Nothobranchius furzeri: one gene and its partners. The protein of the gene in region 2 binds, or shares a complex with, the protein of the main gene of each other region. Links are inferred from orthologs where the notes say so. Each region holds a gene or a part of one and is shown on either strand. Other genes may lie near its edges. The genes, in order: pak1, dab2ipb, arhgef6, map3k5 and dcp1a.

Region 1 (3,518 bases), on a different chromosome or scaffold from region 2:
CGTACAGGTCTGTAGACACACCCGTACAGGTCTGTAGACACACCCGTACAGGTCTGTAGACACACCCGTACAGGTCTGTAGACACACCCGTACAGGTCTGTAGACACACCCGTACAGGTCTGTAGACACACCCGTACAGGTCTGTAGACACACCCGTACAGGTCTGTAGATACACCCGTACAGGTCTGTAGATACACCCGTACAGGTCTGTAGATACACCCGTACAGGTCTGTAGATACACCCGTACAGGTCTGTAGACACACCCGTACAGGTCTGTAGATACAACCGAACAGATCTGTAGATACAACCGTACAGGTCTGTAGACACACCCGTACAGGTCTGTAGATACACCCGTACAGGTCTGTAGATACAACCAAACAGATCTGTAGATACAACCGTACAGGTCTGTAGATACCCGTACAGGTCTGTAGATACACCCGTACAGGTCTGTAGATACACCCGTACAGGTCTGTAGATACACCCGTACAGGTCTGTAGACACACCCGTACAGGTCTGTAGATACAACCGAACAGATCTGTAGATACAACCGTACAGGTCTGTAGATACAACCGAACAGATCTGTAGATACAACCGTACAGGTCTGTAGATACAACCGTACAGGTCTGTAGACACACCCGTACAGGTCTGTAGATACAACCGAACAGATCTGTAGATACAACCGTACAGGTCTGTAGACACACCCGTACAGGTCTGTAGATACAACCGTACAGGTCTGTAGATACACCCGTACAGGTCTGTAGACACACCCGTACAGGTCTGTAGACACACCCGTACAGGTCTGTAGATAGCGACTTGGTCCCAGTTTTTCATTTCGGCCCAGTGTGAGTTTGAGTTCGACACCCCTGCAATGCGCATACAAAGGAAGTGATAACCACCCAGGAACTAGCACGTACAACGACGGCCTTGCGGGAATGGTTCACCAGAATGATTGACAGTTAAATGGACCAATGGTTCAGATGATCCACCTGGAAAAAAATATCCTCCGCCACACCTTTAAATATAGTTTTTGTTCTTCACTAAATGATACAGGTGTGTGTGTGTGTGTGTGTGTGTGTGTGTGTGTGTGTGTGTGTGTGTGTGTGTGTGTGTGTGTGTGTGTGTGTGTGTGTCTGTGTGTGTCTGTGTGTGTGTGTGTGTATCTTATATTATGGGAGACAAACATCTGGGTAAGTCTTACCGATTTGGTGTGTTCAGGACGGGGGGCAATCACCGGTGGAGGCTGCGCCTCGTCTTCATCTTCTTCCTCGGACACTGTTGCTATGGCAGGTGTCTCCGACACAGCTTTGGAGCTCTGCGTGATGTCACATAGAGAGGAGGCGGAGTCTCAGTGACTTTATGGTTACATGAGCAATCATTAAAACCAGATCCATCCTTCCTTCTTGTTGTCACTGCTGATTCCTAATCTCGTCACAGACGTTCTCCTTCATCTTTTGCTGCTGGGCTTCACCTCCCTCTCCTCCTGCTAGTGCCTGAACTCTAGTCAGCTTGAGCTCCTGATGCCACTCCTCACACAACCTATTCCTCCATCTTTGATTTTCTTCTGCTGCAGAGTTGGCAAAGGAGACCAAGATGCTGATTCACAATGCAGCTCATAACTGCCTCCTTGGTGTTAAGTTTAAGGACATCTGGTTGGCTAATTTTAAAAATCAGTTCTCCAGCACAGAAAGCTGTTATTTGAGCTCCTGAGATGAATCAAAAGCAGAATTAAATCTGTTTTGCCTTTTGGAGATTTTCACCTCATCTCCACTAATGGTATAGGATCTGCTGTAAGGGATCCGAGTTGTGGACATTAAAGTGTTTATTATGGTATTTGTTGTTGAGATGGGGGATGTTTGTCACAAAATAAAATAAATGAAATGATTATTATTAGCAGTAAAGCATTCTTGTAATACTTGAGGTCTGAAACCATAAATGAGCCGCAGCACTTAAATTTTAGTCCCGTCATCTCATCCATCCATCCTCGGCTGCTTATCCGGGGTCTGGTCACGGGGCCGGAAGCCAATGCAGGGAGGCCCAGACGTCCTTCTCCCCAGCTTGTAGGGACCTCTGGGTGGATCTCATTCACCCCCGGAGCCTTGCCACTGAGGAGCTTTTCGACAACCTCATTGACCTCAGCACCAGAGATTTGAGAGCCCAACCCAAAGTCCACAAACATTGCTTCCTCACTGGAAGACGTGCCAGTGGGATTGAGTAAGTCTTCTAAGTATTCTGCCCACCGATCCACAACATCTGATTCGAGGTCAGCAGCACACGGTCCCCACTATAAACTGTGTTGGTAGAGCAGTGTGTCGCGGAGGCAGCAGCCTAACCAGAGAGGCCCAGACTTTCCTCTCACCAGCCACTTGGGCTAGTTCCTCCAGGAGAATCCTGAGGCGTTCCCTGGCCAGCTGAGAGACAGTCAATCCAGCATGTCCTGGGTCTTCCTTTAGTCTTCTCCTGGTTGGAATTGCCCGGAAAACCTCACCAAGGAGGAATCCCACCTAGATGCCTGAGCCACCTCAACTGGCTCATCTCTATGAGGAGGAGCAGTGGGTCTACTCCGAATCTGCATCACTGCAGATGCAGCACCAATCCACCTATCGATCTCCACTCCAGCTTTCCCTCACTGGTGAACAAGACCCCGAGATACTTGAACTCCTCCACTTGGGGCAGGACCTCATCTCTGACCCGGAGAAGGCATTCTACCCTTTTCTGACTGTTACGATCTCTGGGTTTTCCCTCCAGCCAGCACCATCAGGATTAGCTCTCTTCCCTCAGAGCTCAGCTGCAAGTCATCTGCAATCACCCAGCTGCAGCATGAAGTCTACCCCTTCAGGAGGAGAAAAAGGGGAGACAGACTGGAGGCTGAGAGAGAGAGGGACTTTTGGCTTAATTTAGGCGCCAGTGGCGACTTGGGTTGGCTGGATTTATTTACAGAGCTGTTTTGTAAAGTGCTCTTCAGTAAGCGGAGTCAGGTGGGGCGCTTTCTTTTGTTACTCTGTCCAGCTCTTATTGTAAGATCCTGAGATTTCTTCCTCCTGGGCAAGGCAAGCTTAAGTTTTGTTTTGAGACAGAGGTAGTAGGTAACTTTAAATAGTAACTCACTTGACAGTCATATTAGTTTGATTTATTTCCTTACAGGTGGTTGTTTTGGTTTCGTCTCCCGTTGGGATGCCTTTTGTTAACAAACCGTTTAAGATGATTGGTTTGGGTCTTGGTCTGTTTGATCCACCTTTTTGTGTTAACCCTCCCACGGTTTCCTAGACCTGGTTGGGGTTGTAACACCGCTAGGGATGGGTACCTTTGACATTTGAATCAATCCGGTACTAATTCCCGGTACCTAGGAATCGATACCGGTACCTAACGGTACCAATTTTCGATACTTTTGAGTGTTTATTATTTTAATTCTCTTTTGTAATTAAATATATTTTTTTTTCAATTTATAACCACATTTGATAAATATCACGATAAATAACATACAACTGTTTGTATTTTAACATCGTCCTTGTAGTTTTATA
Region 2 (3,518 bases):
CAGCTCTACGTCACATTCATTAGCATTCATGGTTGCGTTTCTGTTAGCCTACCAGAGGTGAGATGTTTGCATATCTAGAACATTAACGATCAAGACACCAAATCCTGTCATTTTCTGCCCTCGCTCCAGCTAACTTCTACTTCCTGTTACAGGAGCACCGGAGCTTTTTTTCCACAGAGAACAAGTAACAAATGAAAATCAAAAAATTAGAATGTCAGCAAAAAGTTCATTTATTTCAGGAAAAGGGGCCCAAACCAAGCAAAATCCTTGTTTTATTGATTTTATGTACTATTCTAATTGAGATTTTGGATGTGGGGTTTTCATAAGCTGTAAACCATTATCATCCAGTTATAACAAGTAAAGGCTTGAAATAGCAGGCTCTTCATCTAATGAGAATGTCTCATATATTTGTTTCACTTTTAAGTTGAATTACTGACATGAATGAACTTTTGCATCATATTCTAATGTTTCACCTGGATAGTAGAGACCACGCCAAACCAACATCACCAGACGTTATCGTTTTGATTGTGTTTGCAGGAGAAGCGAATAGCATCTCTGGATGCGGCCAACGCTCGTCTGATGAGCGCCCTGACTCAGCTGAAGGAGCGCTACAGCATGCAGACCCGCAACGGCATCTCCCCCACCAACCCCACCAAGCTGCAGATCACGGAGAACGGAGAATTCAGAAACAGCAGCAACTGCTGAACAGAGCTGACCTCGAGTGTGTGCTGAGTGTGTACAGTTTATCTGGCGAGAGGACGCGTCTCCCCGCCTGCACGAGAGACTGAGACCGCGTGGGCGTGCGCTCACAGCAGACAGTACTTCCGGAAAGACTTTTTAAGAGATGGTGTAGGGGAGTAATGGGCATTTTTCCAGAGGAGGGTGACCTTCATCATGAGGGCAAGTGGAGGGGCGGAGCTTGTATATAAGAACTCACGGCTGTCCATCAGGCAGACTCCGACGATACGTGGTCACCGGGGCGAACCACTATTTAACCACACACACACACACACACACGCACAGCCAGGACCACCAAAAATGGTCGCCCTAGCAACCATCCTCTCCTCCTTTTTTATCCCTCTCCTTCTTGATAACAAAGTGGAGCCATTAACACCAACAAGATTGCAGATTTTCACTTTAGCCGTCTCGAGAGGTTCGCGTTTTAAAGCTTTACTTTGAAGTGTTTCAAAAGAACCAAATATGAGCTAAAAATAGATCATTTTAGTCCAAAACAATCTTCTTTGCTTCCCTTTGAACTTGTGGGTGTGTTCCTGAATGTCCCGCCGACCCCATGCAATGCACTTTGCAAGAAGCTATTGGTACGTAAAAGGCCTTAACTAAGGAACACACGTCCACCTCACCCCTCAGCTCACCTCGTTTCTGCAAAAAACCAACTAAAAGGCACAACTTATACTGTGGATTTGTAAAGAATACAAAACTAAACTGCAAACATTTAGATGTATAATAAAATCAGAAGTAAATGTAGTACTATATTAATGAAATTTAATATAGATGTATGCATTGTTTTCTTCTATAGAGTATACACACATATATTTGATAAACTGACAGATTAAAGAGCCCATTATTTACGAGTTTTCGTCTATGGCGAGATTGTGGCGTGCAGCTCACATCGGAGCGCTGGAGGTGGGGACGACACTGAGCAGTGATAGAAATATCCACGCCGCACCGTATCTGCAGGAGTTTCAAAAAATGATGCAAAGTTTGCAGTGAAACAGATCAAGAGTCACGGTTTCGTCTCTGTTTTTCTCTCTGCACTGGAGCTGTTGAAGGTGCATTGAGATGCGCTCACTCACGCTCTACTCTGGACCAGTGAGCCATCGCTATGGCCGCCATTAGTTCCATCCCCTCTCCCAACTGCTTTAATTGTCCGTGGTGATGAAGTAGGCAAACTGTGACGATCCTTGTAGCAACACCTAACTCATCCGGATTTCTTTCTCTCGCCTTGTTTCTATCTTTCTATCCTGCAATCTTACAGTTGGTCCTAAAGTCGTCACTCTTCCATCTCGCCATGTGTGATTTGTATGTTTGCTTCAGGGAAGAAATAAGAACACAGACTTTAAACATGAGGCAGGAGGCTCTGCATGCTTCATCTTTGCTTGACAGCCGAGCGTAGCGTCAGTACAGGTTGTTTTCCTGGGTCGCCAGTCAGACGGTGATGATGAATGCTTGCAAATGCAAAAAATTATATATATATATAATTATATATGTAATTATATGTATGTATATATATAATTTTATATTTATATATATACAATTTTATATATATATATATATGTATATATAAAATTTATATATATATATACATAAATTGTATATATATATAATTTTTTAAATATATATATATATATATATATATATATATATATATATATATATATATGGTTGAGTCCGTCTATAGACAGGGAAGCCCCGAAAAGTGTAAATAAAATGCTAGCACTATTTTTAGCAGATGTTAACAGCTTTTTGTAAATGCATCTTGTGCTGAGACTCTACTGTATCATTATCGATATTGTAAATATGAACTAGCCCTGTCAGTCATCGGTCCTCATTGGGTAGAACTACACAATTCAATTATCCTGTCAGTGTTTACTCTGTTAACGCTTTTGTGTTCCTATTTACGTTATATTATCACTAGCCAAAAAAAGAAGAACGAAAACAACAGAAAACAAAACTGATGACGTAGAAGTTCGACTCCAGAGATGTTTGCCTTGCTGGTTTCAGGCCAAGTCGAGTCCGATGAGAAACGCAAGCACAATCCTGTAATTCTCATCCGTCTAGCACTTTTACATTGACTCGTCGGGTTTTTATAACTTCTATTTAGTCGTATTATTTTTAATCATGAGCCTGTTTTATGTTTTTAAAATGTGCCAAGGTTCAACATTGACTGAATAAATGTAAAGGTTGTGCATTCGTTTTCACATCGGATGATGAATTTCTCTTTTTCAAACAGAACCAAAATGTTTCACAAGAAATCAGAACATTCCTAACCATGCCTCTGATCCAGTCTTATAGGTTACCTTCTCAGATGAAAGCCAGACGATGAGACGTGAAAAAAAACTAATTCGTTTACTTCTGTTGTTTTACCCGCATGTTTATGGACTACATTAAATATGGTTTACAAGTCCATAGTAATACAAAAATATAAATTGACAATAACCAGTGATGATTTGTTGACATTTTTATGCACACTGTAAATAAACTACAGGCCCTATACTGAAAGTCATTGTTTTAATATTGCTTCCATAGGAAATCTTCCCCCACCTCCCGCAAATTATAAATCAGCCCACATCCTTCAGATTTTCCTTTTCTTTTAGTAAACATAGAAATCCTCCTGCTAAGATACACAGAGCATGCTTTTTCTCAGTTTCCATCCTTTTTTTTATTTTTTATTAAAGTACCTTTACTTGGGCAATTCTGTTAGCATTTTAGCTCAAATAGTTTAATATTTTACTTAAAGGTACAATGAATAAGAATTCTACTGTGAAATAATGTCTAAT
Region 3 (2,878 bases), on a different chromosome or scaffold from region 2:
AGATGATGTTTTAAAATCCAAAATAAAGAAAAGCTGAATATTTTGGGTTACAATTATTCTTGTATATATATATATAAGAGTAAATTACCTTTTGTACTAATAAATAGTGCACAGTTAAGTTTTTCCTATGTGTTGATGCCCTGGAAGCTTTGAAGTCCATATCTGAATAAAAGGATCACATTTCTGACGCAAAATTCATAGTAACACTGTAGATTGATGCAGTTTTTTTAAAATAAACAGTCAGCGGAGACATTTGAGACTGTTCACCGTGGTGAGCTCACTTGTTTGACATGCCTACAAAAATGTCTTGAACACAAGGCAACAATCATCTAAACGGTTTAAAAAAGATCCCAGGCCTTTATGGATAAATAAAAACTGACAGTGACAAAGTCATGAGTTCTGTTTTAGAAAGAAGTGCATGCAAGAGAAGGCTTGATGGCTTTGTACTCCTTTCATTTTTCCAACTGAACACACAAATAAAGCAGTCTGGGTGTTTTTTTGTTGTTGTCTTGTTTCTTCTTGTCCAACACTGGCCCGTTTGCTGGGTGGAGTTTACGGAGCGAGTCACCATGTGGCAGGAGATTTGGAAACATGGTGGTGGAGCCCAGCTACATACAAGGAAGCTTGTTTTTGTTTGTCTCATTTAGTGACGCTGGATCAGGAAGACGGATCTCATCATCATAATGAAGAAAGAAACTCCAAGGTTTGAGAGTCTGATTCTGCTGCGTGAGACTGAAATGTGAAGACACGACAAAGATGCACAAATAAACACACAAACGCTTGTCCCAGTGCAGGTCAGCCCACACGTAGCACCATGAAACCAGGACGCGTTCAGTGGCCGCTGTCCTCCCAAGAGCTGTCGTTCTTCTGCTTGGACAGTTTTCGGACTAGCCTCTCCAGCTCTTTGCGAGACTTCTGCTCCTCCTCCAGGAACTGCTTCATCCATTTGTTCTCCTGCAGAGTGTATGAAAAAGAGCTGTATTTAATGAATAATGTAAGTAAGACATTTTTATTTACATAGCACTCATCACTGAAAGAAAATCCCAAAGTGATTCACATAGATTTAAAAAAATCACAAGGTCATAACATCATAATGATCTTAAATAAATTAAAATCAGGAAAACAAATTCATGACGTTACTAAATGATCGTAAATATAAATCAAGTGAAAGATGATTATTAATTCAAGTAAAAAAAGAACAAAAACACAGTAGATTTAGGTAAAAGCAGGTCTAAATAAAAGGGTCTACAGCTGCTTTTTAAAGGTGTCCAGGCTGTCAATACGATGTAAGATTCCTCTTAAGCCCAGAGACCCTGGTGCTACAGAAGAAAATACTCTTTCCAGGCTAAAAAAAAAAATAAAAAATAAACTACTCGGGTCACGTTCTAGGGTTACAGACACCAGCCAGACCACCTTATATTTTTAATGTCACGGTTGAAAGTTCTGACGCAGTTTACAAGGGACATTATTCAAAACTCGCCTTTGGCTGCCATGTGGGTCTCTGCTGCCTCTATAAACACTCTAAATGTAATAAAAACCCATCCATCTTGTAAATGGCTGCAAGTAGGTGGATTGTCAACGTCACTCACTCAATTGTATATAAATGGGCGTTAACCCGGATGTGGACGTGGCGTTGGCATTCCACCTGGCTTGACGTGTTGCAGCAGACCAAACCTCCACGTTAGTGAGGGCATTCTGATTAAAATTGATTAAATAAGAACGTGTCGCCCTACCAAATGCTTTGTACATTTAGTCTATGGTCTTGCCGTGCCAAGCCTCTGCGTGACATTACTTTGATTGCACCCCATGGCAAGAGGAGCAAGGTATTTGTTCTTTGTTTCTGTTTGTTGCTCCTGATGTTTGTCAGCAACTGTCTTTAATTTGTAAATTATGTATTTTCAGTTTTCACTGTGTTTGCACAGTGTTTGGCATCAGGTGCTCGGTGCGATTCTGGGAATGAGACGTATGCATCTACAGCCTGACGCAAATAAAAAGTCGCACCCGTCTAAGCTCTCCTCCTTATATCTCTTGGATGCTAAGGGGCAGTAACAGACAGAAACAAAGAACAAATATCTCTTTTTTTGACCGTGTTTATTTAGGAAATTATGTGCCTGAAATGACTCATTTGAAAAAGTCCTAGTTTGTGATGTCACAAATGGGGAAAAACAAACCACCTCTCACATGCAAAAGAGAGCTGCTACTGGAGGAGCAGCGGTTCTCCTCCAAGCTCCCCCTAGATATCAAAGCCTCTCTGCACATTTTCCAAAATGTATTTAACCGATTATTGAAGCCATTAAGTGGTTAATTCTTTGTTAACCGTAAACTCCCTCTCCAGCCCCCCTCCTGCGCACGCACACAGAGAAAAAAATATAAAATATAAATAAAACTAACGCTTTTCCTCCTACTCTTTTAACATCACTCAGACACAGAACCAAAGTCCCACGCCTGTTAAAACATTCATAAACTAAAAACAACGTTAGTGGGATGAGAGCTGAAATGTCCACCAGGACATGTTGTGTAATGGGCCGTCCGGCATTACAGCACTGCTTATAGAGCATTGTGGAGGCTACACATTTAAAAAAACACTTGAGTTTCCTTACATTGAACTAATTACACCAAAGTTTCCAAACTACAGGAGGCAGACACCAAGCTGTCACAAACGCAGGAGCCTTGTTTCATTTTGCTGCACAGCTTTATTTCCATGTTTTTCCAGGCTCAACGCTTTGATGTCGGCCTCATTTTGTTAACTACCACATAAAGAATGCTCCCACGCTGTGCACTTTCCTAAACGCTTAATTTTTGAGTAAATTTATTTGATCATGTGACAAGCTCTTCTTCTGTGGTTTTGACAGTGGCATTCTTGTGCCTTCTGGTGGCA
Region 4 (4,237 bases), on a different chromosome or scaffold from region 2:
AGAATCTGCAGAAAAACTCAGAAAATCCCTGAATATGGGTTTAGCAGCAGGGACACGCATATAAATAGAACCGCATGTCCAAGGATTGCTGCATAAATCTCTAATTATATAAATCTGAGTAGAAAATTGTCTCACTGCAGTAAGCCAGCGAGTTGACGACAAGTAAAAGATGTAGATAAGAATAAAGTCCTCAGATATGTCAAATGTTTTGTTTTTCTTTTGGAGAACAGAACAAAGAAACGTGTGCATAAAACTGAAACATGAATGAACTGACTAAGACGATGGAGTCAAACTTTTGCTTCTTTATCTTGTTTTTTTTTATGGATCCGAGCCTGAAGACTTGTCCTTTTTTGTGCGCAGCATCATGTGAGGAGGCTGTTGGAGGACAACATGGAACGCCCTCTATTAGAATGTGTCAGAAGTCACAGCTCGTCCTCGGAGCTCATTGTTCTGTGCCCTCTCGTGCACATTTGCGTAGGAAAACGGATGAAGAAGTACAGCTAAAAGCAACTTTTCCGGGAAAATGCCTCGGCCCTCCCCGGTGCACCGGGAGTTCTGTAGTTCTGAGAAAGATGACAAAAGAACACGGGGAACTTATTGCACCTGGAACAGCAAGAAGCAACAAGCCCGTCAACTCGAAAAAGTAGCTAAATTTTTACGTTTCCTGCTATTCCTGCGTGAATCTCACCAGGATACAGAAACGAGCCTAGAACCTAAAAACAGCTTTAATTTACATGAAAGGGAACATTCATATTTACACCTTTTTCCTCTCTAAACACAGTTTTTTTTTAAATGGCACCAGCTTTAATTTATCTCTTGCATCTGCTCAGTTTTGACATTTAAAATGTCATTTACACCGAGGGGAACGCCGCCGCTACTTTATGACTCAAAAACAATAGTTTGTTTTAAAACTATCTAAAGAATTATTAGCCAAGCTCGCTGCAATAAAAAGTGTTTTTAATTGTGGCTTCATAATCAACACCCCAACATTATACCGCCCTGTTCTTCTTCTGCTGTGAATAATGCAGAAACACATAAGAGAACTAGACATGCATGTTTCCAATAAGCAGCTGTTATTCTATTTTTGCTGATTAAAAAAAATGTGCACATTTAAATATGGAAAAATCCCACAAGAATAGTGGAATTTATAAGAAAGAATGAGTCAATAAAGACCTATATGACTTTGAAAGTATAAATTATCCACTTATCATTTCTCCACACTTACAGGCTTATGTCATTATTGACGTTTGGATTTTCTGCTGACTGGAAGCCAGTTAGTTAATTTATCTTGAGAAATCAATTAAATTTTTTTACTGAGTCTCTAACAGCAAATCTTCCATTTTTGCATCATTCTTGGATACATTTAGCCAAACTGAAATAAATAAATGACTCAAGTGATTATTTTCTACCTCTTCAAAAGAAGAATCCTCAGATTTGTTGTAATTGTTCCAGGTAGGTGATTGCAATATTGGTCAACTGTTGCAGCAGTTGTGGCATTTCCCATCCTTAACAGACTTAATGGATTCATATATTTTGTTTTTAGAATAAAATAAATATCAGATTTTCCCCCTTTTGCCCTTCAGATAAAACTCCTGTAAGGGGAATTCTGTTGTAGGGAGAGGAGTTAAGCGTGTTTAGGCTGGGTTAGATAAAACTTCTGTTTTCTGGAATATTGAATGTGTTACTTTAATAGGATGTGTGGGTCGGAGCATTGGTTTTATCCTGGCTGTCTGCAGAAGGACCCTTGATTTTACGATGAACAACCGAGTCTGCAACGCTTTAGCATTTTATAATGCATCAGCTGCAGAGCCCCAAACTACAAATATATAAGCAAAAATACAATTAAATGCATGTATTGCATTGCAGTTGATAAAATGTTTATCAGATCATCTCTGGACTTCAGTTGAAAGTGACCCTGTGGATCTCTGAAGAAATAAAACCTCCACTTTTGTAAATGAAACAGGAAAAAACAGCCCTGAATGTTCATGTCTTCTGTTTGAGCTTAGACGACTTGCAAGCTTCATGTCCAGACATGCCGATCTGGGTGTGCGTGCGCGAGACGAACCCAGAGCAACGTGATTTACTGGAGATGAGGTGAGCACAGAGGAGATGTGACCTCAGACCCGTGCGTGACTGGAGGCCTTTAGGGACCCACAAATTTTGACTCACCTGCGTTGTAGAACCGGTCTAAAACTGTGGTCTCCCCAAAGTCCAGCCTCCCAAAGTTGACAGTGTCCAGTTTGCTGCCCACCCGGTCGCACGCGTCCTTCAGACACTGCAGGGCCATGCTCTCCGCGTTGTTCTGCGGGCTCGCCTCGCCGTTCACCACGTAAGCCACCGTCACCGGTCTGCTTTTACCGGGCTTACAGGTGGACAGCAACCCCCCGCCCTCCATTAGCTCATCCCCGGAGGTGGGACTGACCCTGCTGCCTGGGAGCAGCGGGTCCTGCCAGAAAGTCCCGGCTGCTGGGATCCCGGGAGCGCCGCCGCCTCCTCCAGCGCCGGTGCTGCTGGGATGTTCCCCGCTGACGGTCTCTCTGCCGGAACAAAAGCTGGGAACCGGGAATGAGATTCCGTCCTGGTCTAGATTCATCTCGTTTCAAGTGTCAGTTAAAGAGTTGATCGCAGTGAGCGGCTCCTCCAGCAGTCCTCCATGGAGAGGCGGCGTTACGCACGGAGCTTCTGCGCAAACACGACATGCGACTGAGCGTTTCCACGCGGGTAAACAGCCTGCTAGAGGCGGCAGGGGCGCAGCTCCGCGTCAGGCTGCATGTTTCTGTTTGATGACGCCGAAAATCAACCGAAGTCAGTCACAACAACAAAGCGAAGGAGGAGAGGAAAGCGCAGCGAAATCCGCGCCACATTCCGCCTCAGCTCGACAGATTCCTGCGCTCCTCTCTCCCACAGCACTTCTCAAAGTTAGGCAGCGGAGCAGCAACGCCCACAGGAATCACCAACGTCACAGCGAGTCGAAGTTGGAGCTGCGCTACGTCATCTTTTATAAGAGACAGAGAGAGCGTGCGCATGCACTGACAGGCGCCTCGAATTTGCGGGCACACCCTGCCCGTTTCTGCTGTTATCTCTCCGAGCAGACCCACGCACTGGGCGGGCAGACAGCTGTAGGAGCTGGGTGGAGGCTCGAAGCTGCTTCAGGACACCAGAACAAGCGCACCTTCTAAAACCCATCAAGTTTCACACCAGAGCTTCATGAAAATGTCATTTAACATTCTCCCTCTCCTGATAATAACTTTTTGCTTTCCTTGACGTTGGATGTGCTACTACTAGTTTATCCGTTTAATTATAGATCCACTAGGATACATACAATAAAGTTTATCTCTCACCAAATAGAATATTTACTAAGACATCACAATATAACTATAGACACATTACTTTGTGTGTGTGTGTGTGTGTGTGTGTGTGCGTGCGTGCGTGTGTGTGTGTGTGTGTGTGTGTGTGTGTGTGTGTGTGTGTGCGTGTGTGTGTGTGTGTGTGTGTGTGTGTGTGTGTGTGTGTGTGTGTGTGTGTGTGTGTGTGTGACTGCTCTATCTTCTCGATCCCCAGTGAGTCATAGAGGATGGCTGCTTATACTGAGCCAGGATTCTCTGAAGGTTTCTTCCTGTTAAAAGGGAGTTTTCCTCTCCACTGTTGCTGCATGCTTGCTTAGAGGATTGCTGTATAGTCACTGACACTAGTCAGTGACTTGATGCAATTTTCTGGGTTCCTTATATAGGAAACATTATTTCTGATTGGCTTAATGAACTGACCTGAATTGGAATGTTTATTATGTGAAGTGCCATGAGACGACTCTTGTCGTGATTTGGCGCTATATAAATAAAATTGAATTGAATTGAACTGAAAATAAATCTAGTCCCTTACTGTTTTCCCCCCCTCCGTTTGAAACTTTCTCTGTTGTTGCACAGCAACGTAATGCCATCGCCCAGGCCCTATTCCAGGCAGGAAGCCCATTATCAGTTCCGGCTCGTGTGTAAAACCTGTAGAGCAACTGGTTGAAACAAACACCGAATTTTCCTTTGTGGAGTGACGTCATGGTCCCCGCACAGAAGCGTCGTGCTTCAACCTTTTCCTGTCTAAGGTCGCCCTCTTGTGGTCACAATCTGACTTTACACAGAAAGATGGTCAGTTTGCGCAAAGTCCTGAATCTAGGAGTGATGAGATGAAACGTAATTAATAACTAAATCCCTCTTTGCCAGGAACTCCATTCTAATGCAGCCATTGA
Region 5 (4,260 bases), on a different chromosome or scaffold from region 2:
TTGTGTCTAACCTGTGCTCTTTATTTGATCCTGCTTTTATGCCAGCTCAGTCTTCATCGTTTCTTCTACTACTCTCGCTTTCAGGATCACAGCTGGGAAATCTAAACTCATACAGCCACACCTTTACAGCAACAGGCTACAGAACGAGTCAGCACACTGAGATCTAGTGGACTGTGTGTGTGCGAGGGACTGTCTGCTGCCAGGGAGAAACCTGAAGATTATCTTCCTGCAACTCCACCAAACAACAATATTAGCACACATGCTAAAGTAAAGTTATCCGAGAAGCTGGTTTTACTGGGATACCAACCTCATCATGTCCTCGATCCCAGCCAGGCTGATGTGCAAACCAACTCCAAAAGGGGAGCCGTCGACTCTAACTTTGACCCTGGCTATGCTGTTTTTCCTTATAAGCAAACAAATGGGAAAGCATTCTAACTCCTTGTTCGTTGCCCTGATGAAGCTTCTCTTCAGACTTCTAATAGATTACCTTGGAGGCAGCGCAGTCAGCTACTTTTTGAAGATTTGAGAAACTTTGCGGCCTTTTTGTTACACTGCTCTGTCACAAGGCTGGAGGACATCGCTGGATTAACTTAGTGGTCGGATTCACCAATCAGAGACTTAACTCTGAGACGGTTGCCCAAATGCAGAAAGATAACTGTTCACTAGCAAAGCTGAAGTTGCTGTTTGGCCATTTTGGGCCATGAGTGCTAAAGTGTTCCTGCTTGATGCTGCAAGACGTCACAATGACTTCAAGCAATATGGAAGAGAGGTGTTCCATCGAACGCTGGGGAGATATCTGTCTATTGTTTTCACAGGTAGGATCATAATAGTGTTTATGCTAGTTAATATAATTAAGGATCATAATAGTGTTTATGCTAGTTAATATAATTAAGGATCATAATAGTGTTTATGCTAGTTAATATAATTAAGGATCATAATAGTGTTTGTGCTAGTTAATATAATTAATACACACATTTGTATGTAAAAGTGAAGATATCACTAATGCTTCAAATAGGAAAATTATGAAAATGCCAAAATTGCAGAAATTTCTATTAAATAATGAGCATTTTGTGACTAACAGAATTTAACAAAGCAACAATAATAATAAGCTATTATACTAGGAGGAAATGTATTTTCATTTTGGTTCAGAAGTCATTAAACATGTTTACAGATTTATTAAACACTTTTTCTGTGCTGGAAACAAGTCCTTAATGTTAAGTCACCTTGAAACAAAACCACAAACACACCAAAATACAACAGAAAAAATAACATATTTCAAAAATACTTCTTTAGTGTTTCATTTCCTTCAAAACACTCACAGTTTCCATTTCTGTAGAGCAAGAAAGGATCCTGCAGCTGGAACTCCAGGTCTTTATTTATGGGCTCAACAAGGTTCTGTGCACTCAGTCGATTCATAATGGTGAAGCCATGGTGAGGGGAGGCAGACCTTCATAAGGACCCAGGAAAAACATTACCTCCTTAATTGCACTTCACATTGCTTTGGGTACAATATTTACTCCACATTTGATTGTTTTTAATTGACCATTTAAAGCAATACTAAAGAGTTTTCGACACTTTAAGCTATTGCCTTCAAACTGGTTTCAGTGGTTCTTCAGCCATAAAGTTGAACATCTTCACATGGGACAGCACTCAGTAGCCCTCTGCTGACCAGAAACTACATTTAACAGTTTTATGGTTTGGGTCGGCACAAGTGTGGGAGGTCTCTACCTGCTAAAAAGCAGGAGCTGTTTACTGTGCTAGTAATTAATATAAAGGATAGCAGTTAACTTTACTATTGATTTAAGTAGCTCCCAGTCCAATTCAAAGTAACCTACAACAAATTCGTGTCCTGTTTATTTTTTTAACAGAAAGATTTGCCTTTGTGTATTTACTGGTACTTTTGTTATTTTTCTTCTTCTATTCTCTAAGTGTATGTGCTTCTGTAACGAGTGAATTTACCCACAAAATTAATAAAGTCTATTATATTTCCTTATAACTAAAGTTTGTAGGTGGTCGTTTTAGTTCTTCATGCTTTAACTGATTAAAAATAAAGTTTATTACAACGTTATAACATAATATTTCAGTTTCAATCTCTAAACACTGTAATTTACGTTCGATTTACTGAATCACAGAGTCCACTTTATCTTTGTTTACAAATTTCAAGGCCTCACGTGCGCAGACGGCGGAACAACCATCGTGGCTCTCAGGTATTCTTACCTTGCATAAACAAACAGGGTTCCCTCAACTTCGGTTTTCTCCTGGAACAAATAGAGATAACGACTCAAACCTAGAAACCGCAAATCCAAACTAGCTAAATAAATTTAGCGAGGGTGATAAGCTAACTGAAAGCTAATAAGGCGTTAAATTTTACAATTAGAAAGTACCTAAGATGCATTAATTGTGTTCGCGTTAAAACAACATACTAGACAACGCTATCTTAATTAACTAAACAAATAAAGACATTTACTTAAAAAACAAAACAAACAAACAAACAACCCCCCCCCCCAAAAAAAAAACAACAACAATATTTTCTGTTTTGAATCAAAGCTCAGAAGCTAAGTGTGAAGCTAGCTTTGTTGGCTCTCCACCAAATATTTCCCGAAACTTTTCCAGGGTAAATTCTCTTACTTACCCATTCGTTTGCTTTTGAATTGAAGTTGTAAAGAGCAACCTGACCGGTAACATCGAGCAGTTTGTTAATGTATGGATCGTGTCTCTGCAAAGCAGCTAAACTCATCAGATGTCCAGCATTAATCGCCATCTTTGCTTATGATTTTCTGCCGCACGGACGAATTTTTGCAAACACCTATAACTTCCGGTATTTACGGAAATCCCACCACTGAAAAGGTTCCCCAGAGGAGTTTTTTTAATTCCGCGGGGAATAATAATAATAATAATAATAATAATAATAATAATAATAATAATAATAATAATAATAAAAACAATGTAATTGCAAATTCTGAGAGAAAATGCAGAAAAAATATGTCTGAAACCAAACCCACAACAATGTGAACATAGTTTGAAAAGGTAGTTTGCCAACTGAAGTTGAAGCTTATTTCCTACACATAATGTCATCCTTTGAGATATTAGAAAAACAAGTTTCAAACTTTTTTGGACTTTTATGCAAGCCAGTTCAAATTAAGGGAATACATGTAATGTGTATACTCTAGGCATTTAACCCTCTCAGGCTCAAAATAAGTTTTGATAAAGGAACAAACAACTAAGTCTTTCAGGGATACATCTGAGTTAAAAAAATGCTCATGAAATACGTATGTGGAGTAACCAGTTAGGTAGGTTTTAACTGTTGCAAATCTGCAGCGCCTGCCTCCAGAGGGTTAAGAAAGTTTCATGTGATTGCAGGTTTCTTAAAATATAAAAATGATAATAAACTTTTAACCCACATATTTAATTTCCACCAAAATAATATTTAGCAATGTGCAACAAACTGTGAAGCAGAAAAACACGGAAATAGATACCTATTTTAACAACTTGTTCACACCTCATTCATTGGATGATCAAAATTTGGAGTTATTTATTATTAAAATTGAGTTCAGTAGCTATTTGCAATGCAAAAGCCTGCAATTATAATGTTAATTTCATGTAGCCTAATATGTTTCCTACCTCAAGTTTCATGGAAATATGTACACATCACAATGGTTTTTTTCATTTTAACTTGTGTTTTTACGCCTAAAATTTCTATTGTTGATCATTTTATTTACCCAAGTTGTTTGGTATATATTTTGTTAATCTTGAAAGAAAATGAAAGCAAAAACAGAACAATATTTCACAACGCCTGACATGGTTTTATGAATGCAGTTTATAATTTCAGATTTATTACTCAGACCTATTTGAGAAGAACTTGCATTATTTTCCTTGTTATGAAGTCAAAGTTAGATTTTCCTTTTATTCAAATCCTAAACTGCTAATAAGTGAATGAAAGTGTCTGAAAATTCTATTTAAAAAATCATGTTTATTATTTGACCCTAGCTTTGGTGCATGCAGCTATCTCTCATGCTTAGGGAACGGGGATTATAATCTAAGGATTACGCACTACCGTGAATCTGTTTTACCCTGAATGCAGGTAATCCAATCACTATCATTCCATCAGAGCTCCAAACCACCCATTCCCTCACGAATCGCCGTAGAATGAACACACAGATCGGCGCTATGAGGCCTCGAAGAAGGAACAGGTGACAGAATGCGGTTTATTATCAGGGGCAGACACCTGAGGGGTAAGTCCAGACAGTGCGCAAAGATTTA

What was found.
Region 1: dab2ipb (region 2) and pak1 share a complex: the UniProt entries of both Homo sapiens proteins name them as parts of the cytoplasmic complex. The link is inferred for Nothobranchius furzeri from reciprocal best matches to the Homo sapiens genes DAB2IP and PAK1.
Region 3: dab2ipb (region 2) and arhgef6 share a complex: the UniProt entries of both Homo sapiens proteins name them as parts of the cytoplasmic complex. The link is inferred for Nothobranchius furzeri from reciprocal best matches to the Homo sapiens genes DAB2IP and ARHGEF6.
Region 4: dab2ipb (region 2) and map3k5 share a complex: the UniProt entries of both Homo sapiens proteins name them as parts of the cytoplasmic complex. The link is inferred for Nothobranchius furzeri from reciprocal best matches to the Homo sapiens genes DAB2IP and MAP3K5.
Region 5: dab2ipb (region 2) and dcp1a share a complex: the UniProt entries of both Homo sapiens proteins name them as parts of the cytoplasmic complex. The link is inferred for Nothobranchius furzeri from reciprocal best matches to the Homo sapiens genes DAB2IP and DCP1A.

The regions. Positions count from the first base shown.
Region 1 is NC_091753.1:60,604,099-60,607,616, reverse strand, and holds part of pak1 (serine/threonine-protein kinase PAK 1), read right to left. Parts: intron 1,313-3,518; coding exon 1,199-1,312; intron 1-1,198. UniProt on the Homo sapiens protein: Protein kinase involved in intracellular signaling pathways downstream of integrins and receptor-type kinases that plays an important role in cytoskeleton dynamics, in cell adhesion, migration, proliferation, apoptosis, mitosis, and in vesicle-mediated transport processes.
Region 2 is NC_091746.1:68,262,767-68,266,284, forward strand, and holds part of dab2ipb (disabled homolog 2-interacting protein), read left to right. Parts: intron 1-537; coding exon 538-705; 3' UTR 706-3,518. UniProt on the Homo sapiens protein: Functions as a scaffold protein implicated in the regulation of a large spectrum of both general and specialized signaling pathways.
Region 3 is NC_091741.1:83,114,451-83,117,328, forward strand, and holds the end of arhgef6 (rho guanine nucleotide exchange factor 6), read right to left. Parts: intron 955-2,878; coding exon 832-954; 3' UTR 517-831; downstream 1-516. UniProt on the Homo sapiens protein: Acts as a RAC1 guanine nucleotide exchange factor (GEF).
Region 4 is NC_091742.1:11,510,402-11,514,638, forward strand, and holds the start of map3k5 (mitogen-activated protein kinase kinase kinase 5), read right to left. Parts: upstream 2,806-4,237; 5' UTR 2,594-2,805; coding exon 2,170-2,593; intron 1-2,169. UniProt on the Homo sapiens protein: Serine/threonine kinase which acts as an essential component of the MAP kinase signal transduction pathway. Plays an important role in the cascades of cellular responses evoked by changes in the environment.
Region 5 is NC_091755.1:32,995,958-33,000,217, forward strand, and holds the start of dcp1a (mRNA-decapping enzyme 1A), read right to left. Parts: upstream 2,801-4,260; 5' UTR 2,762-2,800; coding exon 2,633-2,761; intron 2,259-2,632; coding exon 2,218-2,258; intron 1,448-2,217; coding exon 1,320-1,447; intron 1-1,319. UniProt on the Homo sapiens protein: Necessary for the degradation of mRNAs, both in normal mRNA turnover and in nonsense-mediated mRNA decay. Removes the 7-methyl guanine cap structure from mRNA molecules, yielding a 5'-phosphorylated mRNA fragment and 7m-GDP.